Saccharomyces cerevisiae S288C: one gene and its partner. The protein of the gene in region 1 interacts with the protein of each later gene in a pairwise test. Each region holds a gene or a part of one and is shown in the gene's direction. Other genes may lie near its edges. The genes, in order: CNA1 and SLM2.

Region 1 (3,864 bases):
CAAATGTCAGCACGTCAATCATTACAGATAATTTGAATAGTTATATGTTTGAAGAAGAAATTAGTCCCGGCGTTGTAAACAACATAATTGAAAATAACATTTGGGTTGGAACCGACATCCGACTATTTAAGATCGCAAACTTCAGAAAAGAATCTTTTTCATTTCTGGAAATGACATCTTCTTTTTTCAAGAAATTTAAATTCATTAATAGCGATAATGACAATTATAATAATAACGAATTTGATGATAATACACAGTTAAGATATACCTCTAGAGGGTTGTATAGATAGACACAAATTTTGACAATCACAAAGAAGAAAAAAGAAACTATTTACATATTTAAACATCTACCTCATGATTATTTATGTACGAAAATTTATAATTTAGTATAATTTAGTATTTTTTGCTTCTTATACTTAGCTTTAACTTAGCTGAACGATTAGACCTTAGCAAACACAAAATATAAAAATATGAAACATAAAAAATACACATGTTGAAGAAAAGTAAAAATCTTCACGTAGCGATGCATTGCCCACCTTTTAAATCTATATTGAAGATCTCCTCTAGAAGTCCAATGTTTAATACGTAACTTTCTTGATATATATTACATATTTTGGATAACTCCACCGAGATTTATCTAATTTTGTTGCTATTTCTTACTGGAAGTGCAAAAAAGCAGCGCACTATCAATTATAATATACAGATTTTGAAGATACTAGTGCTTTCTTCTTCCTTTTGGTTGAACCAATTCAAAACCGTCTTCGTCAACAATTGGTTCAGGTTTAGACGATACTAAGTCAGGTACAACCTCGTCCATCTCTTCATCTTCATCTTCGTCATCATAGTCCTCTACATCTTCATCGTCTTCATCATCATCACCCTCAATATGCACAACTCTTTTTGATTTTTTAGTTCTCTGCTTTTCTTGCCATTCCAAATACAATTTTTCTACCTTATTATAATTTAAATTGAAACAGTCGTTATATATGTTGATGACCTCCACGGCAATCGGTAAAGCCGAGTCGTCTTCAACATTAGTTTCAAATTCATCTATCATTGCATAAAGTAACGTTTCTTCGATTAAAGCGGCGTCAACAACTTTTTCATTTTTGAAAAGGTCTACTACAATCCCTGTAATCCAGTCTCTCTTCTCAGCTGAGTCTGGACCACCCCAACTGTTTTCTACGGCAACATCCAACGCATCCCACTTATAAATAACCATGGAAACACCGAGCTCAAAACGTGCCTGTTGCTTTTCGTCAGAGAACATTAGATTGGTTTTACCTTGCTCAGCCTGAACAAATGCTGTCTCATCAATATATTGTGTGCTCATTGTTCCGTAAGGATTATCACTATAAAAATTTTTCGCAGATTTCTTTGGACTCCACCTTTCTTCCTGTTGCAATAAATACAAACTGTTTGAATCATTTTGATATTCATCTATATCTATTTCAAAATTTTTCATGTCATCGCCTCTTGAAACATGAATTTTCCAATTCTGAAAAAGAACGTACTACTGGGAAACAAAAGGGAAAAATGTATAAATCCTTTAATGTTTTTGAATCAAGAGGCATTATTATAAAAGAACGAAGCAAAGCCTTTAATATTTGCTTTATTAAAGGTATTATTCAAAGAAAAGTTTTTTTAGATTCTTTTTTTTTTGACGTATTAGCTCAGCTGCCATAAAACACTCTCAACGCCAATGTCGAAAGACTTGAATTCTTCACGCATCAAAATCATTAAACCTAATGACTCTTACATAAAGGTTGACCGGAAAAAAGATTTAACAAAATACGAATTAGAAAACGGTAAAGTAATTTCTACTAAGGACCGACCTATCGCTTCTGTACCTGCCATAACAGGAAAGATACCAAGTGATGAGGAAGTATTCGACTCCAAGACGGGATTACCTAATCATTCCTTTTTAAGAGAGCATTTCTTTCATGAGGGTCGACTTTCTAAGGAACAGGCCATAAAAATCTTAAATATGTCAACTGTAGCATTGAGTAAAGAACCCAATCTACTAAAACTCAAAGCGCCAATTACTATATGTGGTGATATTCACGGGCAGTATTATGATTTATTGAAACTGTTTGAAGTTGGCGGTGACCCCGCCGAAATCGACTATTTATTCTTGGGGGATTATGTTGATAGAGGTGCATTCTCTTTTGAGTGTCTGATTTATTTGTACTCCTTGAAGTTGAATAATTTAGGGAGATTTTGGATGCTAAGAGGTAACCATGAGTGTAAGCACTTGACCTCTTATTTTACTTTTAAGAATGAGATGTTGCACAAATACGATATGGAAGTTTACGATGCTTGCTGCAGATCATTCAATGTCTTACCATTAGCAGCTTTAATGAACGGACAATATTTTTGTGTGCATGGTGGTATCTCTCCAGAGTTAAAATCAGTAGAGGATGTTAATAAAATTAATAGATTTCGAGAAATCCCATCTCGTGGTCTCATGTGTGACCTACTATGGGCCGATCCTGTCGAAAATTATGATGATGCAAGAGATGGTAGCGAATTTGATCAGAGCGAGGATGAATTCGTACCTAACAGTTTGAGGGGTTGCTCTTTCGCCTTCACTTTTAAAGCATCATGCAAGTTTTTGAAGGCAAATGGTTTGTTATCTATTATTAGAGCACACGAAGCACAGGATGCTGGGTACAGAATGTATAAAAACAATAAAGTAACAGGCTTCCCGAGCTTAATAACCATGTTCAGTGCGCCAAACTACCTGGACACATATCATAATAAAGCTGCTGTGTTAAAATATGAAGAAAACGTCATGAACATCAGGCAGTTTCACATGTCTCCGCACCCTTACTGGTTGCCTGATTTTATGGATGTTTTCACCTGGTCACTACCTTTTGTTGGCGAAAAAGTTACTAGCATGTTAGTGTCTATATTAAACATATGTAGTGAGCAGGAACTTGACCCAGAATCGGAACCCAAAGCTGCGGAGGAGACTGTAAAGGCAAGAGCAAACGCAACTAAGGAGACCGGCACCCCATCTGATGAAAAGGCGTCATCAGCGATATTAGAAGATGAAACCCGAAGAAAGGCTTTGAGAAATAAGATATTAGCTATTGCTAAAGTTTCAAGAATGTTTTCGGTGCTAAGAGAAGAGAGCGAAAAAGTGGAATATTTGAAAACTATGAATGCCGGTGTCTTACCTCGTGGTGCTCTAGCTCGTGGGACTGAAGGTTTGAATGAAACGCTAAGCACTTTTGAAAAGGCTAGAAAGGAAGACCTTATTAATGAAAAATTACCACCATCTTTATCGGAGGTTGAACAAGAGAAGATTAAATACTACGAAAAAATATTAAAGGGAGCGGAGAAAAAGCCACAACTGTGATAAATCTCATTTTATTCTTTTTTATTCCTATGAGATGCAACATCGAATTCTTGTGCTACTGTCACGATCCGCAAGAGATAATATGAACTAACAAAATACGAAGAAAATATAGATCATTTCCAGTCTATTTCTTGATTTCCATACTTAACTGCGAGCAGAATAAATATAAACACATATTTTTTAGTTTTATTTTATTATTAATGAACCCTAGTTACCAATTAGTTATGTAAACGCTTTTCGTAAGAATGTAAGTTATGAACACCACCTTCTAGTTGAGCAGAAGCGGTTCTAAATTCAAATCTAACTTTACCGCTTTGGACATTTTCCTTTAATAAAGTTAGGGACTTGTAACCAATGTCTTGACAAGAATGTTGTAAACCGTTGTACAAATATGGAATAAATTTCTTGATAGAACCTTTGTCAACGACAGCACCGGAGACACCTTGTGCGACCAAAACACTGTCTGATTCGGAAAAGTAACGGGAGGTAGATGCATTACC
Region 2 (4,604 bases), on another chromosome or scaffold:
GTAAACTGTGGAACGAGGTCCAATTGGAGCGCTTGACAAATCACCGGAAGCAATACCGATCAGGTAGGCTGGGATAGGGACTTTCTGTTCAAATCTGTAAATATTAGTATCCTTGCTTGTATCTTCAATCCTGATGCCTGAAAAAACCACTGGTAGTGGGGACTCGATAGATGCAGTGAAAGTAGACTTCACAGAGGGAGTATCAAAGCAGGGGAACAAAGACCTCGCATGAATAGCTTCCAACTGTGAAAACACGTACGGTTTACCGCCCTTGGTTTGCTTGCTGTTCAACCATTGCAAAGCGGTGCACTTGTCAGTCGTACGAAATTGAATATTCAAGGTAAAGTTATCGTTGCAAGAAGCGTTATTGATGACTAACCTGGAGCCCAATGGCTCCTTTCTTTGCTCAATTTGAAAATCTGCCTTGGAACCATCAATATGAACCTCCTGGACATCCAAATAGGATGTATCCAGATGTAATTCATCCGATTTATTTTTACCTTCGTGCAGTTTTTTCAATTGGAATGTAACGCTCCCTGAAATGGCTGACTTTTCGAAGGAAACAGACAGGTTTAAATCGGTGTGAAGAACTGCGAAGTCCTTATAATTTGATAAAGTAGACTGATCGTATTCGGGGGAGCGGGAAGGTCTTCTCTGCTCAATTGAAAGAGGCAACATTTTATGAGGGGTGGAAATGTGTATGTTTCTTGAGATTACAGTAAGTAAACCTCGAAATCGAAGCGTGGGCAGGTAAATAGAGCTGGAATGACGAATGACAAATGGAAGCAAGAACATCAATTAGAACACCAAGATAACCTAATACATAAAGCAAACTATACTAAAGTGCGTTTATATAAGTCAAACGAAAAAGTGGAAGAAAAAAAGTGACATGATTTTCCATACGCAATGCCCCCGGAAACTGAAGACGCATTGTGTCAAAAGATGAATGAAAGCCACGACGAAACAGCCGAAAATGGTGACAGGAGAGGGCCAACGAGCCCCGTGAGAAGACCTGTGTAGGGCGTACCCATGAAGGAGGCCCCTATGATTTTCCATTTGGAAACACTCAGGATGTTTTCTGATGACTGGATGATGATGTCCTTGAGGACCAGGAGACAGCCAAAAAATACAATTGAGATCGCGAGCACAACAACCAAAGGCCTTGTGTTGATGTCATAGCGAACATACCTTTCATTGATATGATGCGTAGATGGCGTTACTGACGGTGAGCTGTTGTACATAGAGTTTTTGACTCTCACGCTTTGATTATCCCTAAAATCACCCGGAATTCTGTACTGGGATTCAACCGGCACTGCCTGCTTCTGTACCCTTCTTTTATGCAGCAGCTTCCGCAGTTGGTTAGTGGTTCCGCATTTCTGTGATTTGCTTCCATCTACAGTTGAAGTTTTCCTCTTAAAGAATTGCCCAATTGACCTCTTTGATACGTGCTCCATTAATATCTTGCGCCGAAATTGTCACACTATGCTCACGTATGATTAGTGTATTTATATATGAATAATTCAAATGGCAGGCAGTTTCTTGTTCGAGCCAGCATTGGCGAAAAAAATGCCAAAAGTAGAAGTAAATACGGTAGACACTCCAGCAAGATAAAGCTGCAATATATAACACATCACGGCGATGCTTGTATATTTAGGAGCTCTTACGTCCACCAATGCTAATATATCCTCCTAATGATGGCGCTGATACTGGTAAAAACTCATAATGGTAGTAGTCATTAGCCAATACCTGCCTCTTTTTTCCGGGTCATGCCGCATTCTTTAATCAAAAGGCGATGCAACCTACTACATGAGAAGATGACCGCGCAAGCAAAGGTTTAGGAGAGCGTTATACGCTTTACCCAGCCGTCCATTGCACCATGTCTTACCAACGGAACAGTGCAAGAGCCTCTCTTGACCTCAGAAGTCAATATCAACAACTGGAAGGCAGAATGAGGTCAGAACATTTTAATCCCGCCTATCAACAGCAGCAACAAAAAGGCCAGAACATACCCCTGTCACTACCCTCGTCGCTTGCGCAACGCAATCCTATACCTTACCCTATCGACGCTGTGACTTCCGATCCCACTATCCCGGCTCAGTTGAACGTATATGATCACGATCGGCAAAATTCGATAGTCGATGCTGCGGCTGGCACCAATACGACGCACTCTTTGAACTCTAATAATATTCCATCATCACAAAATAATAATATTAATAATAACAATATCAATAATGTTGGTTCCTTCACTGACCCTTCCATGCTAACGCTGCCAAAAATGTCTTTACATAGCCACCAGAAGCAGTATGATTCTAACCAAAACGATCCTAGGTCCCCTCTGGCGATACTGATACCGACTTCTGCGCAGCCCACTGATGTCTTGTCTGCTAGGTTTTCTGCCTGGAGAAATGTTATTCGTGCCATCTTGGTATATCTCTCTGAGACCGCCTCAATACAGGACGAAATAGTTAGACAGCAACTGAGGTTGTCCCATGCTGTGCAGTTCCCCTTTTTCAGCATTGAAAACCAATATCAACCGGTCTCTAATGAAGACAAGTCCATGCAGAAATTTTTTCTGCCCTTAGGAAGTGGATCCGTTCAAGATTTGCCCACGATGCTGACCAAGTATCATGATAATCTGGCCTCTTTGGCATCGAAAAGTTCCAAGGAGTTGACCAGTGAAATTATACCCAGGCTAGAGGATTTGAGAAGAGATTTACTAGTCAAGATTAAAGAAATTAAGGCTTTGCAATCTGATTTTAAAAATTCCTGTAACAAAGAGCTTCAGCAAACTAAACACTTGATGAAGCTTTTTAATGAATCATTAAAAGAATGTAAATTAGGTACACCAAAGAGTGACCCATTTTTGATAAAATTGCAATTGGAAAAGCAAATCAAAAGACAGTTGGTGGAAGAAAATTATTTGCACGAGGCATTCGATAACTTGCAGAATTCAGGGGCCCAGTTAGAAAGTGTTATTGTAATGGAAATACAGAACGGATTGACCAGCTACGCTAGAATTCTTGGCAAAGAAGCCCAAGTTGTATTTGACTCAGTTATCTCTAAATTAGATTCCACGATACTGAACAAAAACACGAATCTTGAATGGGATAGTTTCATTCTAAGGAATATTTCCAATTTTGTGCCTCCAAATTTACCCATGAGGAGGTTTAAAGAGATCTCGTATAGCAATCAAAACGATCCTTTTACTTTTGAAGTTAAATCTGGGTTTCTGGAGAAAAGATCAAAATTTTTAAAGTCATACTCACGTGGGTTTTATGTCCTCACTCCAAGCTTTTTACATGAATTTAAGACACCAGATAAGCATAAATTTTCCACACCGTTAATGTCAATACCATTAGTGGAATGTACTGTCACTGAGCATTCCAAAAAGACGAAATCCAACTCAGAGCAGGGCAAGAACAAGTTTATATTGCGTACGAATTCTAACGGACTAATACATAGGGGTCACAACTGGGTATTCAAAGTAGACTCTTATGACGATATGATAGAATGGTTTGGAAATATCAAAGCCTTATCAAGTTTGCCCAACTATGACGACAAATGCAAATATGTGAGTAAAGTTGCCAAACTGTCTAAAGAAAAAGCCAAGAGTAATGAAAACACCACGGAGAGCGTGACCCCCCAGGTAACTAATGAGCAACATACGAGATACGATGATGTGAGTAGTAGCAATTTTCCCTTGAATTCCATTCCAAAATTAGACAATTTGACAATCACTAACACCACGTCATCGATACCGGAAACGAATGATTCACAAATTCAGAATAGGGTTCCTGAATTTTACATTGAAAATGTAGATTCCCCTAGAAAAAGCAATCAGCTGTGACAAGTAAGTTAATTATATAGTAATGCTCTAGTTTGTATGTAATATTATGTATAAGTTTTCTCATAAACAAGGCTTCTATTTTCAAAAAACATCAGCCCCTTTCCTCCTCTTCTAATAATTTACAAATAGGATTCAGTACAAAGTTTTCCCAATCTTTATCAAACTTCAAATCAGAGAATTTATACAATGAATACTGCTGGTTTCTTGCGCCCATCACCCTTAGGCAGTCATAGTCCAGTTTCGTAATTTGTAAGAAAAGGTCGGACAAATTAGGGTATCTCAGAGGATCTTTGGTTGTGTTATAATCAGGATCACTCGGCTCTTTAAAGAAAAATCCAGTAGTTTCACCATCATCTTCGAGTTTTGCAAAATATTTCTTTTGTAACTCCCATTGTGGTGGAGCTTTTCCGATATTCCCGTTGGCATCCCATGGAGTAACTATATCTAACAATGGGCCCGCCGAGGCATGAACTATGGGGATCAAACCGGAAGCCATATACTCTACAACTGCAATTCCAAAGTGCTCATTCCACATGGCATTAACACCGAAAGTAGATTTGTTTAGTAATATTTCAATCTTATCGAAGGGCAGATTTTTTTCGAATGATATCAAATGTTTAGGAATTTTTAATACATTTTCTGACCAGTCTTGTAAACTTTTAACATAATTTTCATCTTGCTTGGATCTAGTGGACCCCGCCATTATCAATTTAATTGGCGATACAGAATCCGGTAAATTTTTCAAGAAAGTTGCAAA

Evidence for each region.
Region 2: the proteins of CNA1 (region 1) and SLM2 interact in a two-hybrid assay, tested with the Saccharomyces cerevisiae proteins (3 studies listed by BioGRID).

What each region holds. Positions count from the first base shown.
Region 1 is NC_001144.5:1,003,847-1,007,710, reverse strand, and holds CNA1 (calcineurin catalytic subunit A), read left to right. Parts: upstream 1-1,702; coding exon 1,703-3,364; downstream 3,365-3,864. Other genes in the region: ECM30 (Ecm30p), read left to right, coding at 1-290; TSR2 (Tsr2p), read right to left, coding at 716-1,333; IMP dehydrogenase IMD3, read right to left, coding at 3,583-3,864. UniProt on the Saccharomyces cerevisiae protein: Calcium-dependent, calmodulin-stimulated protein phosphatase. This subunit may have a role in the calmodulin activation of calcineurin.
Region 2 is NC_001146.8:539,154-543,757, reverse strand, and holds SLM2 (phosphatidylinositol 4,5-bisphosphate-binding protein), read left to right. Parts: upstream 1-1,876; coding exon 1,877-3,847; downstream 3,848-4,604. Other genes in the region: LAP2 (bifunctional aminopeptidase/epoxide hydrolase), read right to left, coding at 1-795; YNL046W (uncharacterized protein), read right to left, coding at 936-1,454; alpha-1,2-mannosyltransferase ALG11, read right to left, coding at 3,939-4,604. UniProt on the Saccharomyces cerevisiae protein: Together with SLM1, effector of the TORC2- and calcineurin-signaling pathways. Phosphorylated and activated by TORC2 under favorable growth conditions. Mediates actin polarization via inhibition of calcineurin-dependent transcription.